3 linked regions of the Caenorhabditis elegans genome follow. The protein of the gene in region 1 interacts with the protein of each later gene in a biochemical or structural test. Each region holds a gene or a part of one and is shown on either strand. Other genes may lie near its edges.

Region 1 (8,984 bases):
ATACATTTCCAGTCCTTATCTATTTGTCTTACTAAAATGTGAACTTTTATCAGTCTTGCTTTCAAGTTATTTTATTCCATTTCAGTTGTATTTTTTAATAACTTTTAATATTTTTGAAATGCGCTGTTAATATTTTTAATTGATACTTTCTATTTAATTTAAATTGTTTATTCCGTGTTTTTACGTGCATTTTCGGATAATCGGCTTCCAAATATACCAAAAATTGAGTGCCTACCGATTGAAACTGTAAGCTAATAACAACTAGGCCTGTTGAATGGGTCGAGATGGGTCGACCCGCGACCCAATTTTGGGTCGGGGTCGCGTCCCCGACCCATTTTCGGAAAATGTCTGAAATTGAAAAAAAAAGTTTGTTTTGTTGTAAATCGTGTTTAAACGTTGACTCTTATGCTTGTTTGTATCGAAAATAGGATATGTTTTTTTAATTGATGAAAATACGATAATTTTATAATTTTCAGCTTTTACACGTGTTTTTTGACAAAAAATAGTTTTTCAAGTTTTTGATAACTTTCTGTTAAATTTTGAAAAAAATGGGTCGGGGACATGACCCCGACCCAAAAAGTGGGTCGGGGCCGCAACCCCGACCCAAAAAATGGGTCGGGGACGCGACCCCAACCCGGCCGACCCAAAAAAAATGGGGCGACCCACTCCACAGGCCTAATAACAACAATGCAGACAAAATATACAAAATAGCAGTATATTCGAATAAAAATTCATATCTGTCCACTGCGAGAAGAACGAGTAATTAATATGTCTTTTTTTTTATATTTTGCACGTTTCTGTTTTTGTGGTGTCCTTGTTCTATATAAAGGACTACACACCAAAAAACAACTGAATAATAGACGTTGTTGACATGCTTGTTTGTGGATTTTCAGAGATCAAATCCCACGTTTTCGGTTTTTTTTGTCGTTTTTTCGGAATCTCTAAAATGTATATTCTTTGTTTTTAGTAGTTCATATTATTATAAAAGAAAAAAAACTGCACATCTGGTAAACAATATAGAAAAAGAGAGTTGCGAAACTTCAAAAATTTGTTATTTAATGTCTTGCGACACTTAAAAAACCGGCATTTTACAGTTTATGTTGTGTTTTTTGTTTGTCGGTTGTCTTATCATCTTGTGGTTTTGGATGCATTTTTCACTTGGCAAGTTGTTTACCACTTTCTTCCGACCGCATGCTTTTTTTGCTTCGTTGGTTTTTTCAAAGTAAGACGGTTGTCATACAACAAATATCACAAGGAAATCACATATTTCACTGTTTCAACACCATGCCCATTTTACTCCAGACAAAAAGTTACCTATGTAGTTCCACTAGACGTTAGGAAATATTATACATTTTTGAAATTCATTTTTATTTTAGAGATTTCAAAATTATAGATTTTTACTAAAATTGCACGGAACGGCGGAAATAAGTAGACGAACGCCTACAGTCAAAATTCACAGGAATACCTCGTTAAATTATTCCGCTTTAAATAACTAAAATTGTATATAACATCACACTTCTACTTCCAGTGAAATACGCCTCTTTCTGCTTAAACTTTTTGTTCAGTTAACCAAAAGAATAGAGATTTGCAGCAAAGGTGGAGTAGCTCTTGTGCACGTGGTGGCAGGCAGTCCCATCACGGTCTGATCTACAAAACATGCGGGAATTTTTTCCCCCAAAAAATATGACGTCAGCACACTCTTAGCCATGCGCATTCAGTTGAAATGTCTGCGTCTAAATTCCCGCGAATTTTGTAGATCTACGTAGATCAAACAGAACTGAGACAATTTGACACCACGTGTCAGTGGAAATTTCATTATAACGCATTTATGATATTACAAAACAATAATACAGTCACTTGAATCTTTGTTTAAGGTGGTTTATATAATTTTCCCCAAGTTAAATTCGAATAATAATTTGTTTTGAAGAGAAAACAAGTTACTAAATGTTATTAAATTGTGAGCAACGTATTGCGTACATAAAATAATTTTGCTTTATACTTGATCCACCAGAATTCACATTCCCTCGTTATTTGAAAATGTTTAGTTTCACGCACATGTTTCTCATATTTCATTATTCCAGAATTTTCTTCTTTTTTTTTTTGAAAACAAATCTCGCTTTCCAAAAAAATCAATATTCAAACGCAACCTTTCTCGTGATGCTGTTGACGGGGGGAGAAATAGTGTCTGAAGTTGTTTTCGTCCTTTTTCCTGCCGCAGCAAAAAAGGTCACATCCCCTCTCTTCGCTGCTATCTCTATTTCTCTCTCATCTCTCTTGCCGGCGTTTCTCTGCTTCTCCGCTCAAGTTTTGTCTGCAATCTTTTCCTTCTGTCCTTTTCCTCTGTTTGCCACAATACGTCACTAGGGGTGTTTGTTTTTCCCATAGTCTTTCGTAGCCAACGACTATTTTCTTCTTTTTTTTTTCGTGTTTTATCAAAGCTATGAATTCTTAGTTCGTTAGATTTTTTTTTGGAGGAAAAATTGTCGTAGAACCTAATTAGTGTTGAATTAAAAAAATTAAACTTCAAAGCCTTATTGAAAATATGATCAATTAAAACTAAATTGTTATAAATGTTTCATAACCATGAAGTTCAAACTATGTTTGTAAATTTTTAAGATGTAATGGAAAAGTTGTAATATTTAAGTGCTCGTGTAGTATATCTGCCCTAAAAATTTTTGCCAATAGGGTTTCCACGTGGTGTCAGAATGTCTAATTTCGGCTTGATCTACGTAGATCTACAAAAAATGCGGGAGAAGAGACGCAGAGCTCTCAACTAATTTTGCATGGTTAAGAACGTGCTGACGTCACATTTTTGTGGCTAAAAAGTCCCGCATTTTTTGTAGATCACACCGTAGTGGGACACGTGGTTTTCCATTTTTGGGGCAGGTATAGTACATAAATACCATAATTTAAAACTACCTTTTAATTGTATTTTTTTAACGACGTATTTTTCTTTTTTAAAACAAAATCTCTGAAAGAATTATCACTATTTACAGCGTAAAAATGTCTACTGAAAACGCCCATCTACAAAAAGAAGACATTGTTATTGAAAGTTGGCTTCACAAGAAAGGAGAGCACATTCGTAATTGGCGCCCCAGGTAAGTTTTTCATTGTTTTACCAGGCCTATGTATCCAATCTAGTACAGTAGTTTTAAGTTTCATAGCTACTGTCCCTTATGAAAAGATATTCAAAAAGTTTTCACTTTAATTGCACTGAATTGGAAATGAAAATCTTCCAACAGGAAACCAAAACTAATTTGGAAATAAATGAAAATTAAATCCTAAGATGTCAGTATTTTAGGTACTTCATCTTGTTTCGAGATGGAACGTTGCTTGGATTCCGGTCAAAGCCAAAGGAAGATCAGCCGTTACCAGAGCCACTGAATAATTTTATGATTAGAGACGCAGCGGTAAGTTTTTGAACCTGTAGATGGTTACTAGAAAGTTTTCAAAATCGTTGCTTTTAAAGGTGGAGTAGCGCCAGACAATTTACTAAGTTTTTGCCACCCATTATTTTGGAAGTCGACAAAAAGAATTTTTTCCAACATTTTTTATACTGTATATCTGTTTTAATTATATCCATTGAAACATTGTAAGGGTCGGAACCAGGGGTGTGCGGCAAATCTCAAAATTTACCGAGCTCGGCAAATTCGGCAAATCTATTTTTCCATTATTTGCCGAGCACGGCCAATTCGGCAAATTTGCCGTGCTTAACAAAATCGGAAAAATTATATATTTTTTGATATTTTTTGGAGCACCGAAACTACTGAATTCTTAACACACCTCTGGTTTCTGAACAAGTTAGATGTAGTGTGTCTGCTTAAACATCAAAATAACTCAATTTGTTGTCATTTTACTAAATTTTTGGCGAAAAAATCAACAGTTTTAGTCAAAATTGTACTGTCAAATTTTTGACGTGTGCGGCAAATTTCGAAATTTGCCGCACACCCCTGGTCGGAACATTCGACATTGCTTTCGATTTCTTCAAAAACTCATACTTTTCAAAACTTTGGCAATTTGCCAAAACTTTGACCGGAAATTATGAAAAATCTAAAATTTATTGGAATGCTTCATTATGATATTCGGACATTTTGGATTATTAAAAATGTGTTTGAACAAAATCTTCCCTGGCTCTACTCCACCTTTAAGCAGAAAGTTAGTACCCCAGTAATATACATATGTAGAAATCCCTCTTTAGTAAAAATTTGAAAACCTTAGCTGAACTTCAAATAAGTTTTTAAGTAATTGCCAGTAGGCAGTTTCCATATTGAAAACCGCAACTACCAAAATGCTTTATTTCAGACGGTTTGCCTTGACAAACCTCGACCAAATATGTTTATCGTGCGATGTCTCCAATGGACCACTGTCATTGAACGCACATTTTATGCGGATAGCGCCGACTTCCGTCAGATGTGGATTGAAGCAATTCAAGCTGTATCCAGTCACAATCGTTTGAAAGAAAATGCAGGAAATACCAGCATGCAGGAGGAAGATACTAATGGAGTATGAAAGTAAAGAGATTCAAAATTTTCATGAAATTTTTTAGAATCCGTCTGGAGAAAGTGATGTGAACATGGACGCAACAAGCACCCGTTCGGATAATGATTTTGAGTCAACTGTAATGAATATCGACGAACCAGAGGAAGTTCCAAGAAAAAATACAGTGGTAAGTTTCAAAATCCTGCCAACAAATCCACGTATTGATATGTGGAAATAAGAGGTTTTTAAAGAAAGTTTTTTGAGTAAAAATGATTAACTCGAAAGGCGCAACAAGTTTTTTTTGGTTGACAGGTTGAGCGAAACTTTTTTTTCTGATTTTCCGCTAAAAATTCAAGTTTTGCTTTGTATCTCTATTATTTCTTAAATGTATGTAGTTATTTAATTTTGCAGACGATGGACGATTTTGACTTCCTCAAAGTTCTCGGTCAAGGAACCTTCGGAAAAGTTATTTTGTGCAGGGAGAAAAGTTCTGATAAGCTCTACGCCATTAAGATTATCAGAAAAGAAATGGTCGTTGATCGTTCTGAGGTGGCCCACACTTTGACTGAAAATCGAGTTCTGTATGCTTGCGTTCACCCTTTTCTCACGGTATGCTTATTGGTCGAAAAAATATTGAGTCGGTGTACAATGTTGGCAGATGTCAGTGAAAATTGAAGTAGATGATTTTTTTCGTGAAAAAATCATGTTTAGAGAGACGGATAAATGCACACTAGGATTTCAACGATGGCGCTACTCTCGCCCGCCAGCACCACAATACGCCCCACACTCCCGCCGCCCTCACAACATCGCCTTTCTCTGTTGCACGTAGCTATAGTGGCGCGAGGTCCTGCGCGGCGTCGGCAGCAGTACACAGAGTGTGATAATGCTGGCGCATGGGCGTGCCGAAGTAGGGCGGGCGTTTCCGTGGAACCATATTTTTTTTCTCTAAGAAACTCTGAAATACATATTTCCTATAAATTTATCGATTGCCATAACTTTACAAATATATCTTACTTACAATTATTTAAAATATTTGAATTCCCCAGTTGTTGACACAGTGCCACAAATATATTTTTTCAGCTACTTAAATACAGTTTCCAAGCACAATATCACATCTGTTTTGTGATGGAGTTTGCAAATGGTGGCGAGCTGTTCACCCATCTTCAGAGGTGCAAAACATTCAGCGAAGCACGAACAAGATTTTATGGATCGGAAATCATACTTGCTCTTGGATACCTTCATCACAGAAATATTGTGTATCGTGATATGAAAGTAAGTAGAAGCTTTTTGAGAGGGGTTATCACAACTTGAAGTATTTGTCAGAAATTTTTGAATTTCACAACTTTGATGTTTTTTCATTGTTTTTTCCATTGTTTTTTCAGCTCGAAAATTTGCTTCTCGACAGAGATGGTCACATCAAAATCACTGACTTTGGGTTGTGCAAAGAGGAAATCAAATATGGAGATAAAACAAGCACCTTTTGCGGAACACCAGAATACCTTGCACCAGAGGTAAAGCCTTTCAATTCTCGCGTCAAGTTATTAGTCTATTGTTTCAGGTTATCGAAGACATCGACTATGACCGTAGTGTTGACTGGTGGGGAGTCGGAGTGGTCATGTACGAAATGATGTGTGGACGGCTTCCATTTTCAGCAAAGGAGAACGGCAAACTCTTCGAACTAATTACGACATGTGATTTGAAGTTCCCGAATAGGTTAAGCCCAGAAGCCGTAACATTACTATCTGGACTACTCGAAAGGGTCCCAGCTAAGCGGCTTGGTGCCGGTCCTGATGATGCACGTGAAGTTTCGAGAGCTGAATTTTTCAAAGATGTGGATTGGGAAGCAACATTAAGAAAAGAAGTCGAACCTCCATTTAAGCCAAATGTGATGTCTGAAACGGACACGAGTTTCTTTGACAGAGTACGTTACGTTTCAATTCTTTTGAAAGTTTCAGAAGCAATATGAGTAATTTTTAGAGTAAACGATTTACAATTAGGGCAAAGTGTTGTTATTTTTAGTACAGTTTTAAAAAAATGTATGCCAACGTACATAAGATTTCATTTAGTTTTTTTACTGATACTGAAACACAAACAACACTTTGTTTAATGACTAGGATTTTCCAATTTTCATAACAGTTTTCATAGTTTCTAGAAATAAGAGAACCAATGATTCAAAAATGATATTAACATATACTCAGGAGTTCACATCAATGCCGGTCCAACTGACGCCTCCACGTAGAGGGGAAGAACTTCCGACAGTTGATGAGGAAGAAGAATTACAAGCCAACTTCATACAATTTGCGTCATACTACGTGTCGGGAAGCTTGGAACGATCTTATGATACGAACAGAAGCGCTGACAAATACGAAATAAGATGATTTTGTTTTCAACAATTTTTTGTGTTTTCTGTACGTTTTTTTCTCATTCACTCAATTTTGTCAACATTTCATTGTCTCCTTTGAAAACTTGTTATCTCTTTCATGAACTTAACAAAATCTCTTTCAAACATTTCAACCTTTCCAAAAACTGAAACTTTGCGTAGAGCACATTTCGTGTTGCTCACATCCTCTGGGCTAATTTCCATTCCTTTCCTGTTAAAACTCCCCATTTCGCATCACTTTTTTGACAATGCTCTTTTATCATGTTTTTCTGTAGTACTTGATTCATATACCCATCTCTCGGGTATATTTAAAACTTTTAAAACACAGTTCCTTTTCTTGATAACATCTTTTTCTTGATATTTTGTCGCCGACATTTTTTCTCGGGAATGAACCTTTCTCACATGGATGACTTAACAGTACTTTTACATTAAGACAAATACTCAGTTCAAGTAACAAAGAAAACTTTTATCAGAATTTATTTAGTTCAGTTTTTGAATGTCTAATAAAAAAGTGCATTATATCTCAAAACTTTCGAACATAGAAAAACGAATGCTTTTAATAAGTTGTAATTGGAATTGAAACAGATTTCGAGAAGTGAAACAATGTTCGGGGATCCTGTGGAAATCTGTCATGCCATACGAGAAAGTACATAGCAAAGTTTTCGATTAGAATAGTTTCGAGTAGACCATCACTTCTCTCAATATCGAGTCCATATGTGCAATCCACAAATTCAAGATCATCACTGAAACGACAATTTAAAAAAAACTGAATTTTCAACTGGCAGGCTTAAGTTTAGACATATGTTCCGGTTAAGTGTAAGGCTTGGGCTTAGGTTCAGGTTAGGCTAAGCATTAAAATTGAAATCAGGTGTCGGCTTAGAAAGCTTAAGTTTCGACTTAGCTTATGTGGTTTTAAAGTGTAGTTTTTCTTTTTATTTTTTCCCTGTTTTCCCCTAGATTTTAAGCAAGAATAATGCATATCAGAATGATTCCCTCCATTTTTATGACTTGAAAATTCCAGAAAGTTATTATTTGGAAAAGACCTTAATTAAACATACCAGAAGATTCTTGCTCTACGTTTTGGATTCCATTTGGAATATGATAAACCTTTCAATAATTCGCCCGTCCAATTATGCCACCAGTAGTTCAATTGAAGTCTTCTCAGTTTCGGCGAATTCCCGGCCAGCCAGTAATGAATTTACTTATTCCGTTTTGTTGCCGAGACTGTATTGAGATCATAAAATCTCATTTTCTCGCAATCCATCATTTTCAAATCGTCTAGTGTTAATCCTGGGCCTTTTTCGATGTCCAATCGTGGAATATTGGCCCACTTAAATGTGAATATGCTCATAATTCAGCAAAGATATTTTCAACTTACCAGCTTTCTATCAATCTTGTCCTTGTGTAAACAATAAGTCAGGAATCCATATTTCGAATCGAAATTCTTCAATATAAATTCCATATCTTCAGTGCCAAAGTACGAATGTCCGAGAAGTTTTAGAAAATGGCATTTCCGAAACAAAGGGTGGCTCAAAGCAGATTTGAACTCCCCAAAAAGTTGATCATGGTCAATTGCCAAATCGACATGATCGATTGAAAACAATCCGTTCAAATAATCCAAAAGACTAGTCAACTGAAAGTTGTCATAGCCGACCAAATTTAGATTGTCTACCTTTCTTTAGTGAAAATTATCAAAATTAGAAAATAAAATCAAAAGCATAGTAGAAAACTTGTCCAGGAACAGAGGAAAACTGGATTTCCATGTGCAAAAACTAAATAACCTATCTCCGCGAAAAATGATCGGATAGAGCTGTGATTTGAGATTCCATTTTGAATCATTCTATTAACTCTAAATTTAACATAAAAACCGAAACGATAGTGGAAAGTTTGTGAATTTTATGGAAAAATGCAAATTGTTCAAGATAAATGTTCATTTTTCGATTTTTGATACGATTATCCACCTTTTTTGGAAAAAAATTATATTTTTCGCTTCCTCTCGATGTATTCAACATTTTTCCAAAAAAAAATTGGAAAAAAAGCAAGACTAACAGAGATTTGACCGGAACAATGGTGAAAACTGACCGAAAACACACCAAATATGAAAGGGGGAGGTGGGTGTGTGTGT
Region 2 (7,065 bases), on another chromosome or scaffold:
TAAACTTTTCGGTCCTGACATGCTCAAAAATTTTCAACTACCGTACTTCATGCATATCTTTAAATTTTCCCCTATTTCTCTCGTTTTTTTATTACGGAAACACTAAATTCTGAGAATGCAGCAAATTTGACGCGCAAAATATCTCATAGCGAAAACTACAGTAACCCTTTATATACCTACTGTAGCGCTTTGTGTCGATTTACGGGCTCGATTTTTGAAATAAATATATTTTCGAACTGCGAGAACAAACTTTTTTTTTCACTTTCCTTCGAAATTTTTTAAATTTAAATTTGAAAATCGAGCCCGTAAATCGACACAAGAGCTACAGTAGTCATTTACAGTGATTTTCGCTACGAGATATTTTGCGCGTCAAATATATTGCGCAATACGCATTAATAGAATTGTTTGTTTCCGTAATATCGGTAGAGCAAATGTGCATCACCGTAGTGAAAACATCTGTTTATCTCCCGAAAGCCATCCCTCACTTCCTCTATTCGAAAAAAAAACGGGCCCAGTACATCTCAACGGTCACCTGCTAAATTTGAAATTCAGTGGGGGGAAGGCCCATCTGCTAGAGAGTGTATCTCTCTTCTTTTTTCGATTCGTCTAGACCCATTTTGCAGACGAAAAGGCACATGATACCCATTCCCCAACAATTCAAACTAAATTTGCAAAAAAACATAGGTTCACATTATATTCATATGGGGAGACCCTTCTAGTGGATCATACACCGATACCTTATCACATTTTCTGTTAACAATTTGAAACAGACATACACAAAAAAGAATGGAAAAGAGTTTCATGGTTTGAATTTCGGAGATCACAGGGCAACCGGCGGGAACATTGGCGCCCGCCGCCACAATTGTGATCTCTTATTTTAAGCGATCACTTTTTGGAGAAAGAGAGCGAGCGGGGCGCAAGAAGGGTCGCACGTGAATGACGAGGCATCTATGTGTGGCTCCGCCCGTTTTTGTTGACTTGTTTCTCTGTCTAGTGTACTTTAACACACAATTCAGTAAGTCTTTTCCTCTTCTTCTCCTGTGCCCGGAGAAGAAGAAAAAGACAGGTGGGTTTTGATGATGATCCACGAAAATAACCGTCAGATGATTATGTAAGAGACACTTTTTGATCGTTTTCAATTGAAAATAGAACGTAGCAAATTGAAAATAGTTTTCGTCGTGTTTTTTGAAAAGTTATTTTTTTGTGAAAAACATGAGTGTTTTCTATGTTTTGCATGTTTTCTGCTCTTTTTCAGTTATTTACAAAATGCAGCAAAAGATTGTTTAGAAAGATTGAAAAGACTTAGCGCGTATAGTTTGATCTATTGGTGGGGGTGGAGTCAGTGCATCTAATTTTACGCGCAATTTTATTATGAAAAAAAAAAAAAAAGAAAAAAAAGAAAAAAAAATTTCTTTGAAAAGCAAAAAAATTGCCAAAAATTGGAGATTAGAAAACTTTTAAAAAAAATCGGCAACTCTATTACGGGAACACAAACTTGTGAGAATGCGTATTTCACAACATATTTGACGCGCAGAATGTCTCGTAGCGAAAACTTGACTACTCTAACGCTTATGTCGATTTACGTGCTCGATGTTCGAAATCCTTTGATTTAATAAAATTCATCTCGAAGATCGAGCCCGTAAATCGACACAAGCGCTACAGTAGTCATGTTTTCGCTACGAGATATTTTGCGCGTAAAATATGTTTTGCAATACGCATTCTAAAAACTTTGTGTTCCCGTAATAACCAAAGTGCTTCGAAGTTTTACGAGAAAAATCCAATTTTTTGGAACTATTGTTAACGACATGTTTAGAAAAAGGTGTTTCTTCAAAAAAAAAGAAGGAAAATTGACAGAATTTCAAGGAAATTTACAAAAAAAAATCGAATTTTAATTACATTTCTGCTATATTTATGAAAAAAATTCGTAAGAAACTGTTATTTTTCCTCAAAAAAAAAGAAAAAAAAAACCAAAATTAATATTATATACTTTTAGAAAAATATTTTTTTTTTCGAAAAAATATAATATATTCTCCAAAGTTTTTCCAGCTCAAAGAAATTTTCGCCTTTCTTTAATTAAAAAATTTGAATTTGAAACCTTCATATTTTCTGTACTTTTTCGTAAACTCCGGTGTTTGCACAGTGTAGATTTACGAACTCTGATTTTTTTTTCTTGAAATCATTTTTTTACCAAAATCTTCTCTCACGATTTCCTCTCTTTAAAAAACTCATGTTTTATTCCTAATAGTGAGTTCGTTTGGGGCGAGCTTGCTGCTTTTTCGCTTTATATCTTCTTTTTTTCGTTTCCCCTTTTTCTTTTCCGTCTCAAAGTTCATAAAACAGTTTTGCACTTTCTCGTAAACAACTCTCGCATGGGGTCGCTCAGAAGTTGATCTCTGAAACCTCTGTCGCCGGCCGCCAACCAACGAGAAAAAAAAGCATTCCCAATGTCCTCTTTTCTATTTTTTTTTTCTTCATATTATTTCTCAAGGAAAGACATATCGGTTTACTTTTCCATCATTTGACGAGAACATGTGATGGAAAAAATGGTGGAAAAGTGGGCAAAAATGGATTGTGATAAGAAACTTTTTTTTTGCAAAAAAATCTTCCTCTATACACATTTTATGTCAAAATAAGCTTCTTCTCTCTCTCTTTTTATCAGTTCGAGACGTCGGAAATGTTCATTTTTAGTTAAGATTTCAAAATTATCCAAAATAAAAACGTTTCATTTGAAATTAATTTCCTCATTGTAACTTCTATTCAATTTCTATCTGTATTTTAATGATGCAACTCGAGGTTTTTAACATTTTTTGCTTATAATTATGATTCTAAATTGAAAATCAAACTAAAATTTGCAGCAAAAGTCTTCATTACATTGCTCGAAGTGCCGAAATTTTCTGCAAAAATTCTCACAGGACATGCAAGCGTGGAACTGTCGTGAGGTATGGCGCCGCATACGCAAACACCTTGCACACACATCGAGAACTACCGTATACTCGCAGTTTAAATTTCAAATTTTCGAAATTTTTTTCCAATCATTTTTCCCTATTTTTCTTCATTTCGCTGCTAAAAATAGTTGTTTTGAACCCGATTTTGTGCGAAATCGTGGAAGTTTACACAGCTTTTACAGTTGAAAATCAAAAAAGCGCGCTTTTTTCGTCTAATTTGCCCAGTTTTCAGCTCGATTCGCCGCTACCATCTGACATCACACTGCACAATCTCGAACCGGCAAGGCCTGATTCCGGAATGAGTTTTTCCACTGATTTTGACGGTAAATTCGTGATTTAAAGTTGTAAATTCCAATTTTATTTGTTTTTTTTTCAGATGATTTCTTCAATCTCGACCTCCATCAACAAGAGCGTTCGGCTTCTTTTGGCGGAGTAACCCAGTATTCTCAACAATTTCTTCGCGAAAAATGCTCGTTCTCTCCGTATTTCCACACATCTTTAGAGACTGTTGACAGCGGAAGAACTAGGTACGCCAAATTTAAGATTTTTAGGTGGTTTGTGAAGGTTCATAAAAGTCGAATTGCACTAAAAGCATTGTTTCGTGGAAAAAGGACAAACGCTATAAAAGTTGATGATTTTTGCCCTTTTTATCAATTTTTGAAAGAGTTTTGGCTTGTGAACAAGCCTCGGTTTTAAAATTTCAAAATTTCAAAATTTTAAATGTTTAAATTAAAAAAGAACAAAAAAATATATAGAAATATATATATATATGCCGAATGGCCTTGAATTTTTCTCAATTTTAGGTCTCAGCTGACCTTTTACTGTTTCTGATTTTTCAATTCTTGTGGTCGTGTCGCGTCATCTTTTATCTGTCACATTCGCTCTGATTTTTGATCATCGAAATTTCTTTTTTTCGTTACTCTTCCAATTTCTCCATTTTATTTCCGATCGGTTGGCACAATCAAAAGTGATTTCTCTCATTGTTGCTGACCTCGAGATTTGTTTAAGGGAAAACCCTTTGATGTCATCACTGTTTTAGTTGTTTTTTGTTTCTAATCATTTAACACTTTTTCGTCTTTTATAGGCCAACAAGCCTATTGTCAGCTGTTGGTCCACTAAGCACACGGGAAATTCACGTGCATGTGAGGAGGAGAGGCAAATAGAATTTAAAGGGGTTTCCCCGATCTTTTGACTCTTTTCTCTCTTTTTTTTTCTCGCGGAGTTGCAGTTTGCAAACAACTGGTGATTAGGTTTTCTATTTTCTCTTTTCTCTTTTGATTGCTTGGAAATTAGATTTGATGCAAACTTTAATATCATGAGTTTCTGATTCAACTTTTTTAAAGACAGAAATCGTATTTTCGTTCTAAAAATAATTTCTCTCTACAGTAACCCCATTTCTTTTAAAAACCGTCGTCGCCCGTCTCAACAATTACTCACCATTGTGTGCAACATTGTATACGGTGTGACGTTCAGAGGTCGAAAACTGTCACGCGTTTGCTCCCTCACTGTATTGCCAGACAGAGTCTCTCTGTCTCTCTCTCTCTGTTCTGTCACATCAGCTGTTCTTCTCTCTACGGGAAGGAAGCACAAAATGGCAAACATTTGAAAGAAAGGGAGAGAGCAAGTGGTATTTGAGAACGGAAAAGTGCACTTTTTGCACACTGTTGTAGCGGGGTTTTTGATTAGAACAGACGATAGGTCGAAAATCAGAGAACAGAAACGAAGTACCTATTATGGTTCCATTTTAGAAAATTCAAATTTTCGAAATAAGGAGGTTTTTGGCAGAACTGGTAATTCCTGTATGATTTCAAATTTTTTGAATCAAAAATTAAAACAGAAATGTAGGAAAATCATATACCTTTATTAAAAAAGCTTGAAAAGTTTCAGGCAACGCCTGAAAGTCGCTTTTTTTATATTTGGAATTTTTAACTAACTCTACATCTTAAAATTAAGTGTTGATTCTAAATATGGGAATATCATATCGAAAATATTTTTTTTGGCGATCTTGTGCCCCCAAGCCAATTTTTTTTGAATTAAGAGTCTCTACAATATCGACCATTTTCACACAGTACGGTACTTTAATTTAATTGTCATTCCACTCAGCCTTCCTACTATACACGTCCCATTGGATTTCAGTGTCTCGTTGTCTGGATAGACTCGCGTCGAAAAAAAAGGAAAAAAAGTAGTGTGTTCTACTCACGGTCTGTCTGTGATTTTTTTTGCTGCCTCCTCTCTCTGGTGAAAGTGAAAGTGTTTGTTTTGGCCTTTAGTCCTTCTTCCTTCCTACGCTCTGATTTTCAGTGAAATTTGATCGAGACCTCACTTTTTTTTAGTCGACCTGAAAATCTGGTGGCCAAAAATATCAGTTAGATCTAGCTTATCGGAATTACCATTGAGTTATTTGTTCTTTGTACTCTCACGAAATCTTTCCCACTCCATTGCGCTATATAATCAAGCTCCTTTTGACTGTCAACATACTGACAGTCTTTGATCATTTCATCATACATTGCCAGGCGTCTTTATCAATTGCCTGCTGCAAAAGATAAAAGTCAGTCAGACGCGTTGACACCGATTTTTCTTTCTCATGTAAAAAATCAAAAAAGAACAAAAACGGCAAGTGACGTTGTATATTCTGTTTTGAAAATAAATTATTAAAAAAACAGTTTCAAAGGTCAGAGTTCTAGGCGTAAACTAGATGATGTGATAATCTGAAATTACTGTAAAAAGCCCCTCCCACGAAAAATCTTTAGGTTTCTGCTAACTAATAACGCACTTGAACTAGACTCTCTCTTGGTTTTGCACTTTTGTTATTGCCCTCTCTCTGTTTCTCCCCGCACACTCCCGTTTCTTGTTACTCCGATGAAACTCTTGTTATACATTGCTCTTATAGTTTTTGGTCCTTTTTTTTTGGAATTCAAATATTGTTGAAACCAACAACAACGAAAAAATTCCCCGCAATCATTGTTGACTTTTTAACCCATCACTTTACACACAAATGGTATTGGCATGTGTCTGTCTGAAAAACAACCCAATAAAAGTGAAAACGGGGAACATGAAGTTCGCTTTTTTCGGAATTTTGGAACGCTTTTTTTTTCAAAAAAAAAATTTCTTTTGTCGGAAAGTCTTCCAATGACGTTATTCATATAATGAATTCATCACAAAAAGGGAAATCCTAACCAAATTTTTTCGCGATTCAGTGCAAAATATTGCAGCAACTTGTCCAACATCGCTACTCTCGCAACATTTTTCCCCTGTCGTCGTCGCCATCGTTATCTCTTTCCCTTTTTTGTCTCTGCAAATGAAAACCGGTTTCCCCCGTGTTCGATTCGCGATGTCTCCTCTCGATTTTTGTGAAGAGAATCGAAAAACGAGACCAAATGGGAATACCGATGTACTTTTTTCCTCCCTGGAGGTTTTTTTGCCGAGTGTCTAGATGTCTACGTGCCTCGAGAATATAAGAAGGAATAGTTTTATCAGTCTTCTTCAAGTTTCTAGTCTCGAATTTTCCATCTAGCCATCTGAGATAAGAAGAAAATTATATGAAAATGTATCCTAGAATACTGTAATCTTCTTTATCAGTTGTTTCAACAATATCCTTCTTACTGCTCACTGAGCCCTAAACCTCTTGGATCCCACACACACAGATCTATCAATGCTATCGGTTCCGATCTGTGCTCAACTATTTCTCCGATTGCCTTCGTCTCTCAACGATCACCTTATTTTCTAACACTGATGAAATGAGCATGTGATTCGTCTTTTTTTTGCTCAAATCATTCAACAGATTTGATGATGGGCACATCGGATAAAGATTAACAAAATGTTTATCACCTTAGTGTTCGCTTCTTTGAGGATTCTGTAAATTGGATTATCTGAAACTCATCGAGCTTAAAAAGTTGATAGTTCACGGAACCACGTGACTCCCACGTTCTTCTGATGTTATAAGCTTTCTCCGTAATCTTCCATTCACTCCTTCCAGCTTTTCCCCACTGATTAATGTCAACGTGAAATCTATGATGACGTTAATGATGAGAGGATGAAAGGATTAAGATCATCTACTTCATGTTGCTCATGCTTCTTCCTTCCTTCTGATGAGTATGATCACATCGAGTTTTCAATATAT
Region 3 (7,278 bases), on another chromosome or scaffold:
AAATATTTTTAAGTTAAAAATATATATTTATTTTCAAAAAACTAACCTTTGTGATTCCCTGGATGTTGTCACGAAGAACTTTACGATGCCGTTTAGCACCTCCCTTTCCAAGTCCTTTTCCTCCCTTTCCACGTCCAGACATGATTAAAAGTTGTTAGAAAACGAAAGCGAATGAGTTGATAAAAACAGAATTGAACGTCACTCGTCGTCGTTCTTTTATACGCCAGCAGAAATGGGTGGAGTCAGATTGAACCACCCTGCGGGGACACATGTCAGAAAAGCGTCACAGAAACGAAAAATACGTCAAAAACTTGGTGGCGTGTTTGCGGATTCGATGACGCGGGAAAGGTTGTGCAGCAGAAATAACAGTCCTCCAAGGGTTTTCCTTGAAATTCGTAGTGTTCGGAAAGACGGTGAAGAATAAATATCATATTTTTGAGCAAAATGGTTTTATTGATGTAAAAATAAGAGATCTTGAAAATAAGAATCGGTTTGAGAATTTAGAAATTTTCGAAAACGAAGAACACAACTAAGTACTCTTCGAACTGGATGACTGCTGCTGCTCCTTATTCTGCTCCGAAGTTTGCTGCTCTTCGTCATCATCTGAACCTTCTGGAACATCTCCATACTTCTCCTTGGCCACCTTGTTGAACTCGGCATTTGTTGCTTGACGAAGAACTGCGAGAAGCTCTGGATCGAGATTCATTCCCTCTGGGAGACCTCCCATCTGAAAAGATATTTTGTTTAGGCTATTCTAAGTAAAATAAAATAGGTCTTACCTCCTTCAGCAAATCATCGAATTGCTTATTGGTCATCTCCAATTTCTTGTTTCCTTGGCTCTTCTTGGTGTTCTTTGGCATTTTTGCGCGTCGATTTGGTGTTGTGCAGACTGGTTGACTAATGAATGCCAACGTAGTGTATATTATATACCCATATGCGGTGGAGGGGCGGAGCGACAGATGTCTGAGGTCACTAACGCTCGCACATGTTTCCCAAAATCGAGTTTACTTTACCAATACCAATTTATTAGGTTTTTAGTATAAAACAGGAACATATGAATAAATACATTGGGGAATAGGAGTGTTAATGGGAGATCGTAATCATTAATAAATTATTTACTGGAAGTGTACTTGGTGACAGCCTTGGTTCCTTCTGAAACAGCATGCTTTGCAAGTTCTCCAGGAAGAATGAGACGGACAGCGGTTTGGATTTCGCGAGAAGAGATGGTGGATCTCTTGTTGTAGTGGGCCAGACGAGATGCTTCCGAAGCAATTCTCTCGAAGACATCGTTGACAAACGAATTCATGATCGACATAGCCTTGGATGACACACCGGTGTCTGGGTGAACCTGCAAATTATTTAATAATATTTTTGATTTGACAGAATAACTACTTAATATTATTTTGATTTCTATGATCCCCCAAGACTAATTTAAATGATTTTTAAATACCGGTATTATATCGTTGCAGTTCGTACTAAGTGGTACGTAGTTTTAACATACAACATGCTAATGGCTAAAACATTTTTTTATCATAACTTATTCGATTTGAATATATTCTCACCTGCTTTAAAACACGGTAGATGTAGACCGAGTAGGATTCCTTACGAGCATGCTTTCTTTTCTTTCCGTCTTTTGGCTTGCTGACGGTCTTAGCAGCCTTTTTGGCTCCTTTAGCTGATGGTTTTGGTGGGGCCATGATCGAATGAGACACGAAACGAAAATGCGAAACGAATCGATGTGTTTGGCGAGTGTTGTCTATGAGCGCTGCGAAGCGCTTTTATACTCGCCAGCGGTGGCCCCACCTCTCGCTGCCGCGGAACTAGACTCCGCCCACACCGAGAGAAATAGTTAAATAGAGAGGCGGGCGCGTGTGCGCATGCGTATTTTGCATCGATTTTCGTCGGCTTAGACCACTTTTCTGTTTCTCTTTCACCTCCAATTTGCTCATCTAGACTTCTAGTTCATTGTTATTCAACCTAATTTCAGCAAAGATGTCCGGACGTGGAAAGGGAGGAAAAGCTAAGACCGGTGGAAAGGCCAAGTCCCGTTCGTCGAGAGCTGGACTTCAATTCCCAGTTGGTCGTCTTCATCGTATTCTCCGTAAAGGAAACTACGCACAACGTGTTGGAGCAGGAGCACCGGTATGTAGAATTTTAGAGCTGCTGTGTTTTGTGCATTTCCTAGATTAAAAAATCGTTCAAACCTGAACTTGCTAGCATTTTCCAAATTATATCACTTTTGCTCTTGTACTTTTTAAAAACATAATGTTCCAGGTGTACCTCGCAGCAGTTCTGGAGTACCTCGCCGCCGAAGTTCTCGAGTTGGCTGGAAACGCTGCCCGTGACAACAAGAAAACCCGTATTGCACCAAGACATCTCCAACTCGCTGTCCGTAATGACGAGGAATTGAACAAACTGTTGGCTGGAGTCACCATCGCCCAAGGAGGAGTTCTTCCAAACATCCAAGCCGTGCTTCTCCCAAAGAAGACTGCAGGAGACAAAGAATAAGCAGTGTCACAGATGAATATTGCAACTAAAGATACTCCGCCCCGTTAATTTATATGTCATCTGAATGTATTGTTTACTCGGCTGAATTGTAAATGAAATAAATTCATATACTTTGCAGTTATCAGTAAATTATTTTTTAAAATGAAAATAAGAATTTGTTTTAAATACAATTTTTCCAGGTAAGAAACTTCCCAAAATTCGGATTTTTGAAAAAAAAACTATTCGCAAGATCATATTTTCCTATTTTTGCATGTTCTTGTGTCCGAACATGTTTCCGAATGACCAAATAATAATAAAAAATGAGGCTGAAGAATTGCTGGGAAAAGTGTGCGGCAGCATTGCATAATGCCGCGCCCTTGCAAGTGGGCGGGAAGACGTTATTTTTAAGATTTCTTCGCAGTTTGTTTGGTGACATTCGATAAACTGTTTTTGTGCGAATGGATTTGTTTGACTTCCCTTGATTGCATTAAACATATTATTAATCTCTATCTCAAAATTCGAATCGCTCACTGTAATACATTATGTAACTGATTTTTTTCAGACATGAATTACGATGAAGACATTGTCGATGAAGACGAATATGAAGAGTCGGAAGCTACAATGTTGTTCGCTGAAGAAATCAAAAAACAGTTCAAAAGAGAGTTTCCGTTGAAAGCAGAGACAGAAAAAAAGCTGAAGCAGGCAACATTTCGTCGACATGCGCCGGTGGAGGCCAGAAAAATCAATTTCGATATGACACTCTCACCTGGTAAATTAACTTAATCCATTTATTAAAAATGTTTAAAATATTTTATTTAGTGGCTCCAATCGAATTGGCAAGTGCAAAAAAAGAAAAAGAGTCGGCACAGCGTCAATTGGTAACACTCCGTGAAGATCACGAACGTATGAAACAAATGATGCAAACGAATCAAGCGAAGTTGGCTGAAAAAACCATTGATCTGGAGACGAATCGTGAGAAAATGTTGGAGCTGCAAGAGCAAGTCGAACTTCTGAAGCAAGAACGAGATGACACCATCGCAGAGTGTAATCGAAACGTTGATATTTGGACAGCATTCGGCAAAAAATACTACACTTGGTACTCAATGGCGAATACTCAGCTGGAATCTGTGAAATTGTACATAGACAACGACGGAAAGTTTGAAAACGACGAAGAAGTTACACGATTGAATGCAGTTCCAAGACAGATGTACAGGGCTCTTGAACAATTCGATTATGATGATGAAACAGTAGAAGAACTTGGTTCAGGAAGTCTGCTAGAATATGAAGGTGTTTCATTTGCTACCCGTAGACCACCATCTCCTGAAACGGAAAGAGAAATCGCTCGTGCTGATCAATCGGCTGCTAACTTTACTCTACCTCGTAAGTCCGGAATTTTCAAACTTTTGTTTGCAGGCAAATATATTCGTATTTTCAGAATCCAATTTCACACTTCTCGAGGATTCAAATAACACCATAATGCCAGAAGATCAAACAATGATGACTGATGGCTGCATTGCCAATCGATCACTTATTGATTACGAGAAAGATGAGAAAATTCAGCGATTACTACTGGAAAACAGTGTTCTCAAAGATCGTTTGAATGTCTCGAGTGGGCGTGCTGAAAGGTCGATGATTTTCGAAGAACGTAATCGTACTTTAGAGTTTGAGAAGAAAGCTCTCCATAAGCAGTTGGACAGCACATTTGTGAGTGAATAATTATTGTTAAACTAATTTCACGTTTAATTTATTTTAGAGTGAGATTGAAGCTATTCGGATTGGCCAAGCAGGGAACTTGTTCAATATAGACGAGAAAATTCCTTCGAGTTCAGACAATTCCGCTAAGCAACTGCAGCTCATTGACAGAATCACTCAGCTCATTACGAAGAACAATCAGCTCGAAAAAGATTTTGAAGCAGCTACTTCCAGAATGACGAAAGTTATGCGAGAAAGCACAGACTGTGCTCGTCGCAACGAACGACTTGAGGATGCTTTTTCGAGCGAGAGAGTCAGAAGCCAAGACCTTGAAAATGAGAAAAGCCGGCTCTCTGAACAGTTAGAGTTGAGCAACAATGAATTGGAGAAGGTCAAGAAACAGTTGGAAGAATCTCAATCTCAGCTCGATGAAGTTCTCAGCATGACTTTAACTGTCCCAGCTTCAGAACCGGCATCTTTACCTGCTCCAACCGATGCCGGAAATAGTACACAGATTTTCCATATGGCTTCTAATCCACTCCAAGATGCTCACAATGAATTCCAAGCGTCTGAAAGTAGGAAAAGAAAGTTGACAGATGCTCCAGCTGGTGATCAATGGAGAGAGCAAGAGTTTGCTGAATTGGAGAAGCGTCTTTACGACTGCGAAAGTGAGAAAAAAGTACTCGAAAGTAGTTACAATCTTCATAAGGAACTCTCGTCGAAGTTCCGGCAAGTTTGTATTGCTCTGACCGGTCTCCAAATCAAACTGAAAGATGCAGACGAAGGAATATGCACTGTACAAAGCGAATATGAAGGTGGTTCCGCTCAGCAGTTCGTGTTTAAGTATTTCTATGGAACTCCTCGCATCGATATGCTTGATGTCAGCTGTGAATCAACTACTGAAATGCTTCGAAAGTGGGAGCCACTTATGAAAAAGTTTGTTAATTTTCTGGTTACTTACTATTAGAAGTATAAATACTCCCCGTTGTTGTGAGGCATCTTCTTAAAATATGTTTTTTCAGGTACATTGGCGACCGAAATTCGATTCCGGCTTTCTTAGCAGCAATGACTCTTCAGCTGGAACAGGATCGAGATTTTGACGAGACGATGCATGAGAGAACACATACATTCAGTGTCTTACACGAGGACTAAATCATTGAGCTATCTAGATCTCAATTATTTTTCTTCAAAGGAGAAGCTGTTAAATACACTGTTACCTGAATATTTGATGTTTCATTCCATTTTATTTATTTATTTTTTAATCTAAAACGTGTAGTGATCAAAATTAATCACACAATGAACGTTATATTTTCTTTCCAATTCAATGTTTACTATGGTATATTGTTTCGTACAATCTAAAGTTTATCTGCTCGTATATAGGAGAAATACCATTATGAAAATAGGAAAATTGGTTTTTGAACATCCTGTATTTTTCTAAAACGAGTTTGAATGATACCGCAATTAAATGATATAAGAAAATATATTTTCAGATGACAGCGTCAAAAATTAGTGATGTCTCTTTTGTGACTGATTTTGTATCAAAATATCAGAAAGGAATGGAGATGTCTTACACATTGGATGGAAATTCACGTGTTAGTGAATTCAATCAAAAAATGAGCAGTGTATCCATTCTTCTATTTCATAGAGATTTAGAGCAATTTCTTCTAGTTCGTCAATTTCGACCAGGTTTCCAATTTTATTCTATTGAAATGTGAGCGTTAAGTTGTTTTTTAGCAATCTTCACCGCATCAATTTCAAATTCGCCGGAGAATCACGGTAAAGAATTTGATAAAATTGACTGGAGCAGCTATGATTCTGAAACTGGCTACACCATTGAACTTTGTGCTGGACTAATTGACAAGGAAGGATTATCTCCTAGAGAAATTGCATCAGAAGAAGTTGCTGAAGAATGTGGATATCGTGTGGATCCTGATGATCTAATTCATGTAATAACATTTGTTGTGGGTGCTCATCAATCTGGAAGTGCTCAACATTTATATTACGCGGAAATCGACGAATCCATGAAAATCAGCGAAGGAGGTGGAAATGTTCATGAGGGAGAAGTAATTACTAAAGTTTATTACCCTGTCAACGTTGCACGTGAAATTGCACGCCCTGCTATTGGAACACATGCAGAAGTGAAAGGACCTCCAGGCGTTCTTTTTGCTTTTCAATGGTGGTTTTTGGTTTTGGATCCAAAAAAGGTGAATAAAAGCATATTTTTATTTAACTTTTGAAGACTGGAAAAACCCTTCTTAAAAAACGTGTGTTTACGACAATCATTTAAAATTTTTACAGAAAGGGCTCATCGCAACTCCACCAACTGGATATCAATGGCAGCCGCACAATGTAAAAACCATTTCGAACGTAAAATTCAACACTGATTTTGACAAAAAGAAGTATGGTTATAATCCAAAGAGAATGATTTTCACAATTGTGAGTTGAAGTAAAGTTCTTAAATTATATGTATAAATGAGAATCTCTTGTAGAATGGAATAACCCGCAACTGGGATTTAGCCTTATGTCCAAACACAGCTACATGTATTCTTGTAGATATGGTGAAGAAAGAATTGATTTTCTTGCAGAAACTCCGTGCACGTAAGTAATTTTTAAATCGAACTTTAATGAAATGTAAGTTTACAGCGGTGTTTGTTGGAAAAAATCGTTTTTTGAAAGAAAACATTGGAAAGCCTCTGGATGAGATTGATTTCTCGAATTCCGATCCTAAAATTGCATACACTGTAAGTCTAGAATGCTGTATTTCCCACAATATTATATGTAATTTTCCAGCTTGAACTCGTTGTTAACCGTGTTCCGGATTTCGACGATCCTCGAAAATTCGCTCGAATCTCAGTGAAGCAACTTGGCTACGATCTTCCAGAAGATTCGTTTAAACTCCAAGCAAAGTGTATTCCGGGAATCGGTCAATCTGGAGACACCCAATCTATTTTTGCCGTGGATGTTAGTAAAGCACGACTTTGTGAGAAGGAAGAAGATGAAGACATTGAAGAACTTCGTGTTTCTTTTGCGGATTTGCCGTCTCTGTACCGACAACACAATATAGGACCACCAACTACTTACTATGCCATTGGATTTGCT

What was found. Proteins that work in one complex are often made in the same cells at the same time.
Region 2: of the proteins of akt-2 (region 1) and daf-16, one has a biochemical effect on the other in vitro, tested with the Caenorhabditis elegans proteins (2 studies listed by BioGRID).
Region 3: of the proteins of akt-2 (region 1) and mdf-1, one has a biochemical effect on the other in vitro, tested with the Caenorhabditis elegans proteins (one study listed by BioGRID).

The regions. Positions count from the first base shown.
Region 1 is NC_003284.9:14,144,704-14,153,687, forward strand, and holds akt-2 (Serine/threonine-protein kinase akt-2), read left to right. Parts: upstream 1-2,996; 5' UTR 2,997-3,003; coding exon 3,004-3,098; intron 3,099-3,301; coding exon 3,302-3,410; intron 3,411-4,302; coding exon 4,303-4,503; intron 4,504-4,546; coding exon 4,547-4,666; intron 4,667-4,890; coding exon 4,891-5,088; intron 5,089-5,559; coding exon 5,560-5,751; intron 5,752-5,861; coding exon 5,862-5,990; intron 5,991-6,037; coding exon 6,038-6,400; coding exon of another isoform or gene 6,401-6,445; exon of another isoform or gene 6,446-6,677; coding exon 6,678-6,857; 3' UTR 6,858-7,265; downstream 7,266-8,984. UniProt on the Caenorhabditis elegans protein: Acts downstream of PI3 kinase age-1 and kinase pdk-1 in the daf-2/insulin receptor-like transduction pathway. Essential role in regulating developmental arrest at the dauer stage.
Region 2 is NC_003279.8:10,747,717-10,754,781, forward strand, and holds the start of daf-16 (Forkhead box protein O), read left to right. Parts: upstream 1-2,781; coding exon 2,782-2,793; intron 2,794-2,846; exon of another isoform or gene 2,847-2,855; coding exon 2,856-2,939; exon of another isoform or gene 2,940-2,989; intron 2,990-3,177; coding exon 3,178-3,268; intron 3,269-3,321; coding exon 3,322-3,472; intron 3,473-4,702; exon of another isoform or gene 4,703-4,841; intron 4,842-5,349; exon of another isoform or gene 5,350-5,496; intron 5,497-7,065. UniProt on the Caenorhabditis elegans protein: Forkhead-type transcription factor. Binds to the promoters of genes that contain the daf-16/FOXO binding element (DBE), TTGTTTAC, in their regulatory region.
Region 3 is NC_003283.11:9,539,998-9,547,275, reverse strand, and holds mdf-1 (uncharacterized protein), read left to right. Parts: upstream 1-3,049; 5' UTR 3,050-3,051; coding exon 3,052-3,256; intron 3,257-3,306; coding exon 3,307-3,867; intron 3,868-3,922; coding exon 3,923-4,191; intron 4,192-4,240; coding exon 4,241-5,115; intron 5,116-5,201; coding exon 5,202-5,331; 3' UTR 5,332-5,494; downstream 5,495-7,278. Other genes in the region: his-37 (Histone H4), read right to left, coding at 47-142; C50F4.6 (Cold-shock protein), read right to left, coding at 530-727, 780-860; his-41 (putative histone H2B 3), read right to left, coding at 1,112-1,348, 1,563-1,697; his-35 (Histone H2A), read left to right, coding at 1,993-2,142, 2,275-2,508; C50F4.16 (Uridine diphosphate glucose pyrophosphatase NUDT14), read left to right, coding at 5,670-5,865, 5,914-6,383, 6,478-6,615, 6,669-6,777, 6,823-6,920, 6,970-7,278.